Linked DNA regions of Daphnia pulex. The protein of the gene in region 3 interacts with the protein of the main gene of each other region in a pairwise test. Links are inferred from orthologs where the notes say so. Each region holds a gene or a part of one and is shown on either strand. Other genes may lie near its edges.

What was found.
Region 1: the proteins of peripheral plasma membrane protein CASK-like (region 3) and ubiquilin-1-like interact in a two-hybrid assay, tested with the Caenorhabditis elegans proteins (2 studies listed by BioGRID). The link is inferred for Daphnia pulex from reciprocal best matches to the Caenorhabditis elegans genes lin-2 and ubql-1.
Region 2: the proteins of peripheral plasma membrane protein CASK-like (region 3) and protein lin-7 homolog C-like interact in a two-hybrid assay, tested with the Caenorhabditis elegans proteins (5 studies listed by BioGRID). The link is inferred for Daphnia pulex from reciprocal best matches to the Caenorhabditis elegans genes lin-2 and lin-7.

What each region holds. Positions count from the first base shown.
Region 1 is NC_060019.1:8,124,042-8,130,684, reverse strand, and holds ubiquilin-1-like, read right to left. Parts: upstream 4,299-6,643; 5' UTR 4,135-4,298; coding exon 4,036-4,134; intron 3,935-4,035; coding exon 3,649-3,934; intron 3,582-3,648; coding exon 3,391-3,581; intron 3,329-3,390; coding exon 3,149-3,328; intron 3,084-3,148; coding exon 2,926-3,083; intron 2,863-2,925; coding exon 2,597-2,862; intron 2,521-2,596; coding exon 2,349-2,520; intron 2,277-2,348; coding exon 2,135-2,276; intron 2,066-2,134; coding exon 1,927-2,065; intron 1,866-1,926; coding exon 1,795-1,865; 3' UTR 1,429-1,794; downstream 1-1,428. Other genes in the region: cytoplasmic dynein 1 intermediate chain-like, read left to right, coding at 45-282, 345-505, 577-717, 777-902, 986-1,231; zinc transporter ZIP1-like, read right to left, coding at 4,614-5,020, 5,096-5,334, 5,398-5,622, 5,695-5,822. UniProt on the Caenorhabditis elegans protein: May play a role in the ER-associated protein degradation pathway (ERAD) possibly via its interaction with ER-localized proteins ubxn-4 and cdc-48.1 and/or cdc48.2, providing a link between the polyubiquitinated ERAD substrates and the proteasome.
Region 2 is NC_060028.1:9,841,331-9,847,452, reverse strand, and holds protein lin-7 homolog C-like, read right to left. Parts: upstream 3,017-6,122; 5' UTR 2,868-3,016; coding exon 2,825-2,867; intron 2,749-2,824; coding exon 2,707-2,748; intron 2,644-2,706; coding exon 2,395-2,643; intron 2,303-2,394; coding exon 2,193-2,302; intron 2,131-2,192; coding exon 1,975-2,130; 3' UTR 1,615-1,974; downstream 1-1,614. Other genes in the region: T-complex protein 1 subunit zeta-like, read left to right, coding at 1-39, 101-278, 345-504, 567-746, 805-952, 1,018-1,327, 1,387-1,456; high mobility group protein DSP1-like, read left to right, coding at 6,113-6,122.
Region 3 is NC_060018.1:1,086,841-1,092,199, forward strand, and holds the end of peripheral plasma membrane protein CASK-like, read left to right. Parts: intron 1-123; coding exon 124-153; intron 154-1,203; coding exon 1,204-1,302; intron 1,303-1,432; coding exon 1,433-1,577; intron 1,578-2,163; coding exon 2,164-2,283; intron 2,284-2,362; coding exon 2,363-2,473; intron 2,474-2,556; coding exon 2,557-2,664; intron 2,665-2,746; coding exon 2,747-2,922; intron 2,923-2,991; coding exon 2,992-3,171; 3' UTR 3,172-5,097; downstream 5,098-5,359. UniProt on the Caenorhabditis elegans protein: May play a structural role in the induction of the vulva. May be required for the localization of signal transduction molecules (such as let-23 receptor) to either the basal membrane domain or the cell junctions.

The DNA.
Region 1 (6,643 bases), on a different chromosome or scaffold from region 3:
GCATTCAATCTTAATTCAACTTTTTTTTTTAAATTATTTTGCAGCACCCGGTCTACTGCCTAAGTGTAGTCGGAACGCAAAATTCGCACAGTTTGATTTCGATTTCAACTGACGGGAAAATGTGCTCGTGGAGTTTAGATATGCTGGCACAACCGCAGGAGACGCTGGACTTGCAACAGCGCCAAAGTCGTGCCGTTGCCGCGACGTGCATGGCCTTCCCCCAGCCCCAATCCGACATCAACAATTTCATCGTTGGCAGCGAGGAAGGCACAATCTACTCCGGTATTTTTATTCAAATAATTCGTTGCATCCTGTCGAAGTAACACGACTATCAATCGAAATAGCTGGTCGTCACGGACCGCGTGCCGGAATTATCGATACCTACGAGGGACACCAAGGACCAATTCGTGGCATGGACTGTCACAACTCTCAAGGACCTATTGATTTTTCACACCTCTTTCTTACGTCCTCTGTCGACTGGACCGTCAAACTTTGGAGTCTCAAGGTGAGAATAGTTTTATTTTTTTATTTTTACGGATCAAGTTACTAATCCATTTCTTTTATTCGATGTTGCAGGAGAACAAACCATTGTATTCATTTGAAGACAATGGTGATTATGTCTATGACGTAGCTTGGTCTCCAATTCATCCAGCTGTGTTCGCCACAGTGGACGGCATGGGCCGTCTTGATGTTTGGAATCTTAATCAAGACACAGAGGTTGGTCTTGTGATTTTTCATACCTCTAAAATTTGGTTTTAACCTCGAATATTATTTAGGTACCAGTTACTAGTATTAATGTTGACGGCAATCCTGCCTTAAATCGTGTCAAGTGGACCCAATCTGGAATGAATCTCACTGTGGGCGATGATAATGGGCGAATTTGGGTTTATGAAGTTGGAGAGGTATGAACTTATCTTGTATATCTTTCGTACTGTTGACTTCTAATGTTTAATGTTTAACTTTTAAATGAATTGTAAATTTTCAGCAATTGGCTGTTCCAAGAGCAGACGAATGGACGCGGTTGGTTCATACACTTCAAGAGTTGCATCAAAATCAGCTGGATGAAGACATGGAAAAAATGAATTTCGGAGTAGGAAGCAGTAGCCTTGGCAGTGGACCTGCCAGTAGTAGCCTGGGAATCGGCAGCAGCATTTCGCAGTTGGCCGGAACCACTTCGCCTCCTAGCAGCTTGGGCAGCATGTCTTCCTCTTCGTCTGCTCCACTCCGCTAGCCAATTAATCCGCTTTTATTTGGGTCTTTGTACACATGTTAACCCAAGTACCTCAAGGATCCTGTTTTTGCCGACGTGCTTTCTATACCTATCTTTGTTTTTTTTTTGCTTTTGGAATGGGAATAATGCACGTGTGGGTACTTGAAATTCTATCCAAGATTAAATATTGAATTACATAAGACTTCACCAACAAAACGTTCTGATCATTTATATATTGGATGGATTCTAACATCAGATTATACAACCAAAGGAAGGGAGAAGTGATAGGCTTGGAAATGTGTCTGGAAAGACCTGGAAAAAAAAACTTAAAGGAGGGTAATAGGACAAGAGATGTTAGACAAAGAAATCAATGTTACAACCCGTCTGACTACAAGAAAAAGTACCTTGTAAACAGTCTTGAAAAGTTAGCGCTCGATATCGAAATCAACTGATCATTTTCAAGATACTCAACCGAGAAGAGTTAGAAAGGAATTACTAGGTGATAAGAAAAGAATGGCAAGAGAGTGGTAAGAAGGAAAGGTAATTATGAAAATAAAAGAACACAAAAAATCTTCAGACAACATTTAAATCATAGGGCGATTCTGCAGTAATCTTTCCACAGCAGCATTCACATCGCCAAAGGTTGCGATCAAGGCTAAAAACAAAAATAAAATTTTAAGAAACTTGTCTGTTTTGAATATTTTCTTAAAAATTACCTTGGAGGTTGGCCTCTCTGTTAATAAATCCCATAGCTGTTAATTGTTCTAACTGTGAACGGTATCTTTCTTCCGGTGGTTGGGTGGAACCACCGCCAATTCCGCTTCCAATTCCACCTTGACCTGCTAGGGAAGTTAGCTATCCGTTCGAAAAATAAATAGTTGTTTTACTGAATTTGTGTGTAAAAATCAATTATTGCGCTTCTACCATGCTTGCCATCATGTTGCTAAAAGCGTCAGATCCAGGCCGGGTAGTCGTCGGTGGAGGAGCTGTTGTCGTCGTATCCGACGCAGCGGGTGTAGTGCTTGCAGCAGGATTCAAAGGCGGAGGAAGAGAACCGAGACCAAGCCTGCAAAATCAATCGAACAAGAATTACATTTACATTCGCTGCCGATTATTATAGAATGAGAAGTTGTCATACGTAGTAGCAAACGATGGTGCGACTTGTCGGAGTTGCTCCATTCCTTGTTGAATCTGCATCATCGCCGACATAGCTTGTGGGTTTGTGACCAAATTCTGAATTTCCGGATTATTGAGCTGAGCCATGAATGTTGGTAGCATTGTCCTCATTTGTTCTTGCATAGCTGGGTTGCCTGATTGACGGTGATATTATAAAATAAATAATTGAAAAACAAAATAACACGAAATGAAACAATTAACTAAACGTACTGGCAAATAGAGGATTGTTGAGGATCATCTGTTCGGCTAGTTGTGGATTTGAACCCATTTGTTGGAACATACTTTGGACATAAGGGGCATTCATCATACTCTGCATAAGTTGCGGATTATCGACAATCTGCTGCATCAAAGACTGCATTCCTGGTGAATTAATCATGCCGGGCATGCCTGGCATGCCTGTTACACCTTGGGCAGCTGAACTGGATGGGCTTCGATTTTCACCACCAGTTCTAGTCTCAGAATTGCTTCCAGGCGACCTAAAAATATAAACGGTGTTTTGTTTCATTTACTATAATAAGCATACTTGACAATAAACAAACTGAGTCGAAGATGGTCCAGACCAGGGATTTGGTAAAGGAGCACGGTTTTCTTGTCCTGCTTGAGGATTAGCCGACCCAGCAAGAGGCCCGGCGTTATTAACCAAAGCGGCAAAAGGATTGCCACCAAACTGTTCTTGAGCAGCATTGAACATTGGCTCCTAAAGAATCAATCAACATCCATCAGTGAGCAAAGCTTCTTGAAAGATTTCCATTTCTTTAAAACCTGAATGTCGCGATACATTCGTTGAAGGGCACTGTAACCTCCTGGAATTGATTCCAAATTAGAAAGAGCCCGATCCTGACTGCGCATAAGTTCCTGCAACATGGCAGGATTCCTTGCAATTTCCATCGTTTGTCTCAACAGTTCTGGATTGTTCATTACATGATTGATTTCTGGATGACGCTGCAAAATTTCAAATTCTATTTTAGTCAGAGTTCCATACTTTTATAACACAGATTGCCTACCTCCAGCAACTGCTGCATTTGTGGGTTAGAAGTCAAAATTTGTCTCATATAGTCAGGGTTACTCATAAGTGATTGAACAAGAGGATTGTCCATCATATTGCGTAGTGTTTCAGGATTTGAAAGTATTTCCCTTTGCATATTTTGCTGCATCTCCATGAAGTTCCCTGAGCCCAATCCCATATTTGATAAACCTAAATAAACAAAAACACAATTTTATAACATAACACTTTTCAAATTTTTTTTTTTTTTTTTACAAACCTGCAAGACCACCCAATCCACCAATTCCAAAGGGAGATGAGGGACTCGGCTCTGCCGGTCTGCTAGGAGTTACAGACGGCTGTGGAATCGTGTTGGATGAAACATTGCTTGGTGATTCCTGTGTGGTTCTGATGGCATTGCCAGATTTGATGACAAGGTGTACTGTGAGTCCATCCTTCAGGTTGTGCCCTTTCAATGTCTCTTGATCTTTAAGAATTTTGCCAGCGAAGATAAGGCACACCTGTTCAGCAGTTGCCCCAAACTTTTCAGCTACAATTTCTTTCAGCTAAAATGGAAATATACATTAGAATGCAGACCAAGAATCAGGATTAAAATAGAGTTCATTAGAAAAACAAATTTGTTACATATTGTTCATTTGAGCATTACCTCTTTGATTGAGGCCTCTTCCGGTACCTCTACATCTTTCTTATCCTTCGGGGTTTTAACGGTCAATTTTATTTTTTGTGGCTCACTCGACTCAGCCATGTTTTAGAAATTCAACGAACACTCGTATGTATTCCAAAATAATTATAGAACAATACAACTTCAGATTCCAGAACTTGTTCGAAAGTTTCTGTCGTCTTCTTGATTACCACATTCGAGAGTAAGGGTAAACGCTGACGTCCGCCAGTGCGCTGCCTAGCGGTTGTCGTCCAAAGCTTTTAGTTCGAACTCCTCTTTCCCCAAGATGTTTGAAATTATGATTAGTCACCATGATTATACGCACTATTGCTTCATTATATTTATGAAAATCCAAGCTTACAGTATCAAAGTACAAATTATGTACACATTTTTATTTATGAAAGTGTTATATGATCATATTCGAAATTAACGCGCCTCATTGTTTGCAAAACAGTTTAAATGTCAAGTTTTCAATAAACACAGAAATAATGTTTTAATAGACCTTGGCATTCATATTGAGTTGAGAATGCCTCTCCAGAGATATAAAATTGGACTTTTATAAACTAAGGACATCTTGGTTTTGCAGTGTCAGGATCCAGAAAGACGATAGCACAAGACGCGGCAAAGCCGAGAATGATGAAGAGCATTTTTGGCGTTCTCAGATCATTGCTATTCAACTCGTGCGGCAGCACTTCGAAAAAGGTCACATAAAGGAACGTTCCGCAAGCCATACCTTGCAAAATACCACTCAATATTGTTGCCTCAAGAGAGTTACTAATTAACTCAACGCCCATTCCGATTCCCAAACCAATCGGAGCAGCGAGACAAAATATTAGAGTCAACTGAATTATCACTCTGGTCCGAAGATTACTCTGAACAAGATTGAGGCTAAGACCAAATGCAATTACACATTTATGGAGCACTACAGCCGCAAAAATTTGCAGAACCTCTTCTACATTTTTTTGCAATCCTGTGATGTTTTGAGAAACAAAAAAAGAGATTAGTATAACTTTATATGAAGAGAGGATTAGAAATTCAATATTACCTATTGCTAATCCCTCAAAAATGGAATGTAGAGATAGAGCCACTGATAATAAGAGAGATCGTAGAGATGAATTGGCTGAATGATGAGAATCATGGCTATGACCACTATGACTATGATGAGATGCTTCATTGATAGGCTGTCCACTTCCATAAAGAAAGGACACCTCAGGATCAGCATTTGTTGCATTTACTTCCCTTGTGGAACCTTGAAGTAAAGGTTCTCTTTCACCAATTTCTTGTCTAAAAAACAAAGTTGAAGCAATGAGTCGTTTTGCACTTAACATACTGTTGTTATCATTTTACTGTGAAGGTTCATGTTTGCAATCAAGAGATATTTGTTCCACAATTAAAACGGTGAAGAGTCCTAGAACAACTAGGAATTCGGCAAATGGAAATGAACTGTTGATTTTCAACGCAACCATGACCTCATCAATGTTGTCTTGCACTTCAGGAAACAAATCTAGTAGACAGGTCCCAAGAAAAACTCCTCCAGCAAAACAGTTCAACAAACTGATTACTCGTGAGTACCTTAAGAAAAGAGAGAAAAACGTACACGTAAACATCAATTTTTGCTTAGAAGAAAGAAAAAAAATATGCGACCTTAGTTTCCGAACAGGATCTGCGACATTTCGGATTGTATCCATTAGCTTTAATGGCAGTAAACATGATAATAGTGTAACCACAAATAACGTAGCTAGAACAATGCTTTTTGCTTTGTTAATGTCCATGGTAGATTAAAGTGAGTTCTTCTTGACATGGGAGTGAAGAAATCAGTCACAGAATTCACTGAATCATCAGTAATTACTTTATGGGTATGACTCAAGCCCAGCAGACGCCCATTGACAGCCCAGCAGTAAACAGTAAACACCATCTTACGGAGATTAACAGTAAAAAATACAAAATCGTTTAGAAATTTGCATTCCCCGGCTTTTCACGCTTTAACGAGTACGAAATGTAATGAAACTAAATTTTGAATATTTTGGTTACTAAGCAACACAAAATGGAATGTTTTGCATACAGTTCACCAAAAGAGTAGAAAAATGATCGCTCAGGCTCAGATCAGAAGCATCAAGCACGGAGCATGGTAGTCAATACGGGAATCTGCAATCAGACTATCAGAGGGACTGTAAATCATAATGTTATATGTAGGCTATAGAATTTGAATAATACAATAAAAAATAAAATAAAATTGAGAAAGACGAAACGCGGTAACAATTGTAGTTTAATGTCAATTAATTTTTATTAAATTTAACCTAATACTGTAGTACCCCAAATAATTTACCCATAGGCTAATTTACTAATCAAATAATCATCATATATTTAGAAGAGTTCACGATAATGTGAGACTAACAAATGCTATGGCCGCACTTCATTTGAAATGTTTAATAATCCGTTAAACATTTTGGTTCTTTTTTCTGCACCTTTGTTAATTCGCTGGCAAAGCCTTCACAAAAAACATTCGATATTTTCGATTTTTATTTCATATTTGTTATTGTGTTATGTAACAGTATAGTGTCTCGTCAGTACGGACAACGGATAATAAATTTCA
Region 2 (6,122 bases), on a different chromosome or scaffold from region 3:
AGGCATGTGTAGATGCTGTATTGGCCATTAAGGAAGATGGTACTTAAATAACAAGAACATGAGTTTATGTATGTGTACTTATGTAGCATTTAACATTTAGATAAACCTATTGATCTGCATATGGTTGAAATCATGGAGATGCAGCACAAAACGGAAATGGACACCCAGCTTATCCGTGGTATCGTTATGGATCATGGTTCCCGTCATCCTGATATGCCCAAACGTGTCGATAATGCTTATATCCTCACTTGCAACGTCTCAATGGAATATGAGAAAAGGTACTCTTTTTCTATTTTGACATTATTTAGACTGGATAATAATTATGTTATCTTCTGCTAACATAGTGAGGTTAACTCAGGCTTTTTCTACAAGACTGCTGATGAGCGTGAAAAACTCGTTAAAGCTGAAAGGCAGTTCATCGAGAGCCGCGTTCAGAAAGTTGTTGATTTGAAGAAGAAGCTTTGCGATGGCACTGACAAGACTTTTGTACTTATCAACCAAAAGGTATAATCTATATGCTAGCTGGATCGACTGGGATGTATCTAATTTTTCTATTTGAATGTCAGGGTATCGATCCTTTGTCTCTGGATATGTTGGCTAAAGAAGGCATCATTGCTCTTCGCCGAGCCAAACGCCGTAACATGGAGCGATTGACTCTGGCCTGTGGTGGTATTGCCATGAATTCATTTGATGATCTTTCCGAATCATGTCTTGGATATGCCGGTGCCGTCTACGAGCATGTTTTGGTAATTACACATTTTCTGTTTCTTGATATAACGACATAATCTGATGGTTCTTTCACAGGGCGAGGATAAGTATACATTTGTTGAAGATTGTCGTAACCCCAGGAGTGTTACGATTCTGATCAAAGGCCCAAACAAATATACTTTAACTCAGACAAAGGATGCAATTAGGGATGGACTTCGTGCAGTTGTCAACGCACTAGAAGATAGTAAGTCAAAATTTGAATCAACACATTTAAAAGATGGTAATATCATTTGATAATCGATATACTAGCTTTCGTCGTTCCCGGTGCTGGAGCTGTTGAAATTGCAACTCATAAGGTCTTGGTTGCATACAAGGAGCAAGTCAAGGGTCGCGCCCGTCTTGGTGTTCAAGCATATGCTGATGCCATGCTGGTCATTCCGAAAGTGTTGGCACAAAACGCTGGATTTGACCCTCAAGACTCTATTGTCAAAATGCAACAAGAGTTTGTTGAAGGTGGACCCCTTATTGGTCTTGATCTACAATCGGGCGAGCCGATGATTCCAGCAGATTTAGGAATCTATGATAACTATCGTGTTAAGAAACAGATTCTCCATTCTTGGTAAGTTTCAAAATTATTGTTGATGTTACCAACTTATTTATTTATTTTTATTTTTTTAGCACGGTCATCGCTAGCAATCTGCTTTTGGTAGATGAGATTATGCGTGCTGGTTTGTCCTCATTGAAGTAAATGGCCGTGCCTCAAGGTCCACCGAGTTCCTGAGCAGCAATGGATGACTTTTTTCTAATCAATCTGCTTGAATTCTAATTTCGTTCCGGCTTACCATTTTCGTCCGCTTGAGAAACTAATGTTATTACAATTTGCTAATCACTACTAAAACAGCATTGTTTGATTCCGAAGTTATATTCATTTCAACAAATAAGTCTACAGATCAGTTAACATCAGGTTTTAGCTTAGTTAATGGTTTCATTTAAGAAAAGGTTGCTACTATTTCTTCCATTTTGCAACTTGTGTTCAAAATAAGCAAAAAAACAATTGCAAGGACGAATGAAGGTTTCTCTACATTCATGAGTGATAACGTGTAACCGTCTTTGTCATAGAATTTAACTATGAAATATTTAGCTACACAATATTGAATATTTTTGTAACAGTCAGGATGGGGAATTGGTTACACTATTGATAATACGAGGAGTCAAAATTTGCGATGGGGACGATGATGCTCCTAATTGAGATTTGTTAAAGTGAACTTAGTACGGTTGTCTTCGGCGCGTGGTCCTTTGTTTATCAAAGCGCATTTCCATTTCTTCCAATATTTTTGGTGTGTAACGCACAACTAGTTTCACTGAACCGTGAGCAGCTTTCAGGAGTTCCACAGCTTTCTCGTGATTTTCACCCTCTACCGACTAAAAAAAAAATTAACAGTCAGAGAAAACTTAAATGGAAGAAGTAAGTTTATCAATTTTACCACTCCATTAACAGAGAGCAATTGGTCACCACGCTTTAGACCACCATGTCTGTCTGCAACACCTCCAGGAATGATTCTTGATATGTAAATTGGTGAATTTTGTTCCCTTCCTACAAACATTCATTTGGTAATTATAAAAATTAATTTTCACCATTGCATTCTCAAGGAAAGGATATGCATAAAAATGTATTTATTTTGTTACCTCCCATGACATTGAATCCAAGACCTTCATCAGTTTTGGGGAGTTCTACGACTCGAGGATGGGCATGGCCTTCACTAGCAGCAAAAGCTGCAATTGTAGCTTTGGCTGTGGCAGAAGCTCGGACATCAGGTGATCCTCCCATTTCTACTGTCTCATAAACATGTTCGTAAACTTCTCTGACAGCTCTTAGAAAGTCACTCTGCAGCACCTTGTGAAGAGCAGACAGTTTTGCCGTTGGAACTTCTCCACCTAGTTTTGATTAGAAATTATTATGACCTAGTGCTCTTGATAACTGATATTTTAAAGATTTACTTTTCATCAACTTCTCCAGCAATTCCACAGCTCGGTTTATATCTAGAAGATAAATTTTAAGGGATTAATAAGAGCGTTCCACGACAGCTAGTTGCCTTCAGAAGTAAATGCCGTTTACCTTTGTCGAGAGACAATTGTTCACTTATAGTAGTAGCTGCCATAGTTTATATCAAGAAGTAGAGGTTTGCAATGAGAAAAACTTCAATAAATGTCAAAACTGGGTTAAAAAATGGAAGAATTTTCAGGGCAAAACACACGAACTTTCTGTCAATACATAGGCTCCGCCCTAAAACTGATTTGTCCGGCGATGGATCTGTTCTCCAACGCCCTCTTTAATTACAAAAAGTGTTATATCATAGTTTAAACCTGAAATGTACCGATATATTTTCGAATATTCAACGAGAAATTTTTAATTGTCTAATGTTTAAAAAAAACTGTATTTAAAAATTTCAGGTTAAATAGTAGCTGTATTTGCCGTACCCCGTAATGCTCGGCCAGCCAGAAGCGGTTTCCTCTAGACTAGAAGGTAATCAATAGCATGTGCCATACCCTCTCCAATCCCTCTCCCCGCACCCTTATACCAAGTTCCGCTTACATCTGACTATTCCAAAAGTAGCATCACTTTGTTAGGGTGCTGATGACAGTCCCCCAGATTTATCGAATCGTTTTTCTTTTTCTGCTTTAGCATAAACTTGTTGTCGCTTATTTAACAGTAGAAAACTGATGGAATAGTCAGGCATTGGTACCAGGGTCTTTTGACGTTTCTATTAGGATTTAAACTACTATTGCAATTAAGTATTTTAAAAAATTTCAATGATATACCGATTACGTATTCAGAATGAAAGGATGATACAGAAACATGTCTAAGCACAAGGTCAAAATGAAGAAAACAAATGTGTTTGGGTGTGTCAGTAGGAGTCAGATTGCTAATGTTTTGAAATAGAGTTGTAGTCTGATTTTCATGGAAGTCGATTTAAACTAATCAATTTTTGTCTGATGTGTAGTACTCATCCTCACAAGAGGGGAAGTGGTGGAGGAGGAATTGGCCTAGATTTTTGGTGATGAAATGAGGTCCGAATATCCATTACCCTGTTTCATGTTTTTGAATGTCAAAGTAACGCAACAACTCCAGATTTGCGAATTTTGTTTACGCTTTAATAGGTCAAATGTTGAATTATGACCTAGATGTCTGCCGCATTTGATAGGAGAACACAAGTATCGAAGAGCGGATGAGTGCGTTCGGGACAGAGGACGACGAAAAACAAAACATAAAAAAAAAAGTATTCAGACAAGTTGCCGAGAGATTGATATGGTAATTCACTTGAAAGACGACGGCTGAGTCAACAAATGCTGTGAGCGTCGCGCCGCCCGCTCTTTGGCCGCCCGCCGGGATAGACGAAGAACGCGCCTAGTGCGGACAGGACAGGAGGTACAAATAGCAGTCGGTGTCGATATTAGCTGGCATCGTGTTCTCTTGAACGAGCGAGGTTTAGTCAAGAAAAAGTTACTACACTTAATCTTAACAGTTCTTATCCAGACTATTCATCATCATGAAATCAACCAAAGTTATCACGCTGTTGCTGATTGCATCTTTCGCCATGGTAACGTCAATTACTTTGATTTTTTTCAATTTTCTTAATTTACAGGAATCTCCATATTTCTTTGTGGTTAAAAATAGCAAAAGCTAGGCCCAAGTATATTCATTTCCTTTCGTCATTTGGAATTCAGTCTTGTGTCATTCTGCTTATAAAATGCAACCTATTCTTTGTGTCGTGTCATTTAAAATTTAAAAAATCCTAACCGCATTTATTTCAAAATAGCTGGCTCTGTTTGATATTACCGCCGACGCTGCAGCATCTGAACAACGTCCGCAACGTCGTCGTCGGCCATTCCAGGCCGAAGTAGATGCTGACGGCAACGCAATTGCGTCACCAGCTACTCCTCGATTTCCTTTTTTAAATCAACGAAGGTCAGTTTCTTTTAATATCATTGATGACATCTGCTATTTTAATAAAATATTTACGTTGTATTTATCAGAGCAAATGGCAAGGTCAACCAAGCTGCTGCCTCAGGAACCGGCATTAATACTAAATCATTGCAGTCTGATATTTCGGAGAGCTGTAAATCAGAGCCCGGCTGCGAGTGGAGTTGTCCTGAAGACGTTAACGAATGCATGTAATTACTATTTTTTTTTAATTTTACACATTTTTAATCAATGCACTACAAAAATTCAAAACTTTATTATATTTTTAAAAGATGCCGCTGCAAATTCGATCCGGCCAATATTCGCGTCTCACGGGAGTTGAAACCATCTCCACGTTAATCAACAAACAAATTTTTCCTTTTTATTGGTCGCTTGATATTATTCTCCCTCTCCCCTCATAACCCCTTGTGCTTTCTAATTTTGTTGTCTGCCGATAGATTATTGCCGTTTATATTTACTCATCGGGCCCTTCATATAAGCTACCCTCTAACTTATTTCTTGTTTTAATATAAAAACAAAATGGATGATATATAACTACGATTAACAATAATAATGAAATAAAGAAACTACGACATTAGAATTTTTCTTTCTCTCCAGACGCTTTTGAGGTCGTTACTGTATGGTATGCGTGTGATGGCGTACCCTAGCGTTATCAAACCAAAACTAAATTCGAATTTTGATGAAGTGGGGGATGAACCTAATGAATCATTACAGGTCATTGTGTTTTCTTTTTCCCAAGTAAAATGCTATTAATAGAAGCATAAGTTGGCAATTTGTAAAAAAAAAAAGAAAAACACCCATTCCACGCATGCCCGTACGTACCCTTAAAAATGCGCCTAAAATGACCGTTACACAAAAACAAAAAATAAAAAATAAAATAAAAATGGGGTAGGGGATTCAAAATATCCAACGGCAAAGACGGCTCAATAGGCCAATGGAGAGAGGCTATCCCTTGCGCCGGCGGCAAGAGTTTTTATTTTCGTGCGCAACCTCCGCATGGGTGTTGGCTTTACTGTGTATTCCCTGTTCTCGTACTAGCTTCCTGATGCTGCTTTGTGAGCCCCATAGACCAAGCACCCAAGCTCCTTTGTGATAACGTTCTTGAAAAAGTTTTCGACCGCCACTTTGGTTAAATTTGATCGTCTGGCTTGTCTTGTACGTTATTTATCTTCGCGAAAGTCAGTAAGTACTGTTTAATAACATTTCAATTTGTTTTTGCTATCCAAATACGTGAATATTGAGTAGAAATAATATCGTCGAGTGGCACAACTACGCTTTTGGGCGCAAACTAAGCCCCTCCTTTGCCATGATTTGTCCAAGTCAGACATGCTTGTTTGGTTCTAACTCAAATGTTTCAAAATTCACTATTAATTAAATGTGTCCTCCATTCTTGAACTGAATTAGATTTCTGGATAGTCCAAAATGCCCCGTG
Region 3 (5,359 bases):
GAACGGCAATATATATATTGATGTTTCATTTTTTGGCCGGTCTCTTTTCTGTGTGTCCCTTTTGGTCTTTTCTTTCTCTCTATCTTTCGCATTTCGTTCCATTTCCCGCTTCCCAAACAACAGTTATTCAGGATTAATCCACAGCCGGTTCTTGTAAGTACTGTCTCATGATAATCGATCAGTCTTCTGTTTTTTCCTTTTTTTAACAAGTCAAGTTCTACGGGGTTGCTATTATTTTTCATTATCATTATTATTTGTTTTTTTACTTGTAATTATTTTTATTTTATTTTTTTCGACCGGGAGAGTAAATAGTTAAGGCCTTTTATTTCTTTTTTCCGTGTTGCCCATCACTTTTATTTTTAAACTTAAAAAAAAAATCCCTTCTCTTCATTTTCTTTTTGCCAAATTGCCTCCGCTCTGGAGTTGAAAGTTATTGGGTTGATTCGTTTCTTATTTATACTATTGTCACTACTCCCCTACTATATAAACAGTGTTTATTAAACACATACACACTCTCTCTTGTCATTTCCACTACTTTGCACACAAGGAAAGAATAAGAGTCATTACTTCAGAGCCGACTTTCCACTTCCTTCTCCCTTTCCTTTAATTGATGCACGATCTGTTTTGGTACTCAAATACAAAAAAAAAAAAAAAAATACAAAAAACGAAAAAGAAGGGGGATCTGGTGGGAAAAGGAATCTGGCGAAGATGTAGTCAATGGACTAAACCACTTGATTTGGTTCTCGCGCATCCTTCTTTTTCTCCTCCGACTTTTTCCCCCTTTTTTCCCACCTTTTCTGTTTGATGTAGCAATTTGATTGATGCATGCCATTATTGACGTCTCTCCGCCTCTTATTTGTTGTTTTGCTTTTTCCCCTTCAAAGTAAAATATATATCTACTATGCATATATTTTCTTTCTTTTTTATATACATTCCTCTTGTTTTTTGTTTTAGAATTTTTTACTGGTCCAATCTCCTTTTTTAAAAAATTTCAAATTTTCATTCATTTTTTTCTCCCCGACGCTGCATATCTACTTCTTAAAAAAAGGCCATTTCTAAGTTTCTTTTTATCCTTTTCTACTGTTAGCTTTGGAATGTTCAATAAACTAGCCGGTGTGACGGTTTTTCATCATTCTTTTGTAATGCGGGTCTCGTTCTTTCTTTATTTGTTCCGCAACGGCTCGATTTCCGAAAACATCGCAGATCTACGTCCGAGCCCAATTCGATTACGACCCGCTGGGAGACGACACTATCCCCTGTGCTCAAGCTGGCATTGCTTTCAAGACGGGTGACATCCTGCAGGTTTGTACAATATCAATTTTTGAGTGACACAAGAGACATGAGCAATTGCATTTCCTTTGTATTCATTATCTCACCCGACTGCGGCATTCGATATTCATGACTCGACTTGTTCTCTTCTTAAACAATGCAGATTATTAGCAAGGACGACAACCGATGGTGGCAAGCCAGGAAGGACGGTGCCGGAGAGTTGGCACCCGCTGGATTGGTCCCTTCTCCCGAGTTGCAAGAGTGGCGAATCGCCTGTTCGACAGTGGAAAAGAGCAAACGAGAACAAGGTAAAAACCCGCAAACAATTATTCATTTGACTAGGATTTTTCCTTTCGAATAATAACGAAGCGAGTGAACAGCAGGATGAAACTTAACTCTAGTTGTCAGACTTGTTGCCCACGCTTCCAGACAAGAAACTTTTCCATCTTAAAAAATGCACCAGCTCGGACTTGTATTGCTCTCCAACTTTCGTTGTGTAAGTCTATTAAGGCTCAGCGGAGGTTCTTTTTTTACAACGAATCAATGACGCAGTCGTACGCGTCCAGCTTCCGGAAGCAAAGTCTTACTAGTGGCTCTCACACAGCAAACACAATTTCCTGAGCTGGCCCCCTCTTTTGTTTTATTGGCTTTTACCTCCTCGCTCTCCCACTCGCTCTCTCTCTCTCTCGACTCAGACCCTTTCTGCGTGTCTTTAATACAAATGCAGACTCCCGACTCTTCATCCGATATTGTTTGGATTTCCTCGTCAATATGACTCTCTTATTGTTAAGACGAGCCAGATGGCGTATTGAGCCGTTAGACTCTGTACGTTGTGTGCCGGGTACTGATCAAACATGGACCCCCCACCCGGGTCTTTTTTATTTCTCATTGCAGTCAACTGCTCGTTTTTTCCCAAGAAGAAGAAACAGTACAAGGACAAGTATATGGCCAAACACAATACAGTCTTTGATCAAATGGACGTCGTGACATACGAAGAAGTCGTCAAGTTGCAGTGTATGTATCAACTCGCCAATCTTTTATGAACACGACCCATGAAAACGGTGTAGTCTATAATCGTCTTCTCTTCTTGCAGCCTATCACCGAAGAACGCTGGTTTTGTTGGGGGCCCACGGCGTAGGTAGGCGGCATATCAAGAACACCATGATAGCCAACCATCCCGACAATTATGCCTACCCGATCCCTCGTAAGTGTCATCGTCGTCCAATCACGATCTCTGGTTCGAATGTCTGGATTTTTCATGTTTTGTTTTTGTTTTATGTTGTCCAGATACGACGAGACTGCCACGGAAAGAAGAGGAAAATGGGAAAAATTATTTTTTCGTCTCGCATGACGAGATGATGGCTGACATTGCTGCCAACGAATACTTGGAATACGGTACGAAAAAAAAAAAATTGGTGTGTTTCGCCCGAGAGAGTTGACTCGAGTTTTTCGTTTCCCTGTTTTTTCCCATCATCAGGAACCCACGAAGACGCCATGTACGGTACAAAATTGGAAACGATACGAAGGATACACGCCGACGGAAAGGTGGCTATCTTGGACGTTGAACCCCAAGCTCTCAAAGTGCTGCGCACCGCCGAGTATTCGCCGTTTGTCGTGTTTATAGCCGCGCCTTCCGTTCAAAATATCAATGACGTAAGAATGTGTTTCTCTTCAACTTGTTGGATCGCGTAATTGACTGTTTTTTTGTTGCCACTTTTGCAGTACGACGGAAGTCTGGAGCGATTGATCAAAGAATCTGCACTGTTGAAATCTTCGTACGGACACTACTTTGACCTGACTATCGTGAACAACGACATTGAAGAAACCATAAGAGTTCTGGAGCAGACCATGGAGACGTTGCCGAGCAGTGCACAGTGGATACCCGTGTCCTGGATTTACTAATGTACAGATGTAATCTAGCAACTTTATATTCTTATTTCTCCTCCATATCTTTCTTTTTCGTTTCCCACTCTTGTTTCATCCAACCTTATCAAATCACAATGGATCTTCTATTCCTTCTAGATCTTAGCGCAACACGTTAAAAAGTTGATCAGCAGCTCAAAGTGAGGAAATTCCGGATAAAAGCGAGGGTTTATTTGAAAGTTTTTTAGGAGGTTAAGTCTGCTGGCGGGCAAAATGCGGTAGAGAGAGAGAGAGAGAGAGAAAGAAGGAAATGGTTTTTAATGCTTCGTTGTTTTTCGCCTGTTCACCGATGAACAAATCGGCGCAAAGTTTCAAGATTTGTCTCGTTATTCGACGAAAAAGGAAAAGAAAAAGGTTTTTGTAACCTTGGCCTCCTAAGTTACTCTTCTGCTTAACAGGATGCGATAGCAATTCAAAACTTTTTAGAACAAGTTTCTGGCGACCGGCTGTAGCGATTACGTTGAACACCTCCCCTGCCCTCTTCACTCCCGACCATTTACACAATCTCTAGCCGGTGCAGCTCATTGATTCCCATTTGCTGGTTACACTTTTCCACGTCACCCAATCCCCCCTCCCGCCCAAACAAAAATCAATTCGCTTTGTGAATCCCTTCTCGCATCGACCGGTCTGGGTGGGGTTGCCCCCCTTCTCTCTCAAATCTTCAAATCTGATACGCGTTAGAATTTCTTCCATGTGTAAGTAATTGTTTGGGTTTTAAAAATTGACTGCCATGCGATGTACTGGTCGATTGACAGCTTCATTTCCCTCGAAAAAAACGGAAACTTGGCATCTTCCAGCAGCGTGAGTCACGAAGACGACGATAGCAAATGACAAAACATAAGACGGGTCGTTTTTGATAGAATCACAAAGCCTGTGCTTTTTTTCAATCACAGGATTTCATTTTTTTTTGTAGCTAGGAGCTAATATAAGATAGATAAGACACTGTTAATGTTTCTGTTATCCTTTAACATTAAAAACCCCCGAGCCCTGTCTTCCTTCTTGAATCGCGGTCCCACTTGGTTGATGGAATATGGTGTGGATGATGACACGCACATAGTTCAGTTTCCTATGCGCGGTTCATTTCCACCATACTCGGAATCTTTTACCGGAATCTGAAGTATCTGAGCAATATGATCGAAATTGGTTGGATCTGCCAGACAGCTGTATTATTACTGAAAGTGTTAGCAACATCTTTCACCGTTCCATCTCTCTTCCCCCCTCTTACCGACTTTTTTTTTTCGTTTCCTTTTTCAATCTTGTGCACGAAAAAATCCAGATGTAAATGTCATTTTCAATGTTGAATCAATAGGATCTATCTTTACAGTTTACAAGAGAATGAGAGGCGGACATTGTGTCGTCGACACTGCGCATGTCTCAACTCCCCCGAAAAAATCCCGGTTTCCCCTTTCCCCATGTTCCCTCTATTGCCAAAAGTAAGAAGACGCATGGGGGAAAAAAAGCTGTTTTTTTATGAACGTTCGTGCGACAATTTTTAAAAATGATGCAGTTGTTGTAATCAAATCAATCTGTTGAGAAAATTTGAAAGTTGAGGGAATGGAAGTTGCAGGATTATTCTTTAAGTGTGAGTTGGAAGATGTGTATTTCTGTATGCATACTTTGCAACCAATGATGTTCAGAATTCTTTATCTGAGTTGACTGATGATGTTTTACAAAAACAAAAAACTTCTTCTTCCCATTCCTTTACTGCCCTTTGCCCCAATATCATCACTTTTCATCACTTGCTCTACACAAGTCGCAACATCCATTCAAAAAGGACAACGCCGTCTTGGTTGATTTTTTATTTTCATTCCATGGCGGCCACATCATTGTTGACTTCTCTTTTTCTTTTCCTTTTTTTTGAATGTATGACATGATTGCGAAGTTATTACAAGATAACACAACAAATAATAGCGTTTTATTCATTTTTAAATATCGTTGGTCACAAGAGTTTTGCTCGTTTGATTATTTGATTAGGTACAGTTTGGAATAATGAACTTGGGTCTATTGCGTCTCTACAGATATTGATTGGACTGATTCTTCGTAATAACTTGTTGATTGATTAGCAAATAGCACACACATTTAAGTAGTCCTTTTTTTCTGTTTTAAGTGTTTATTAATTGCTGTCATGTTTAGTCATGTGGATTCTTAATTCTAATGGGCTTAAATG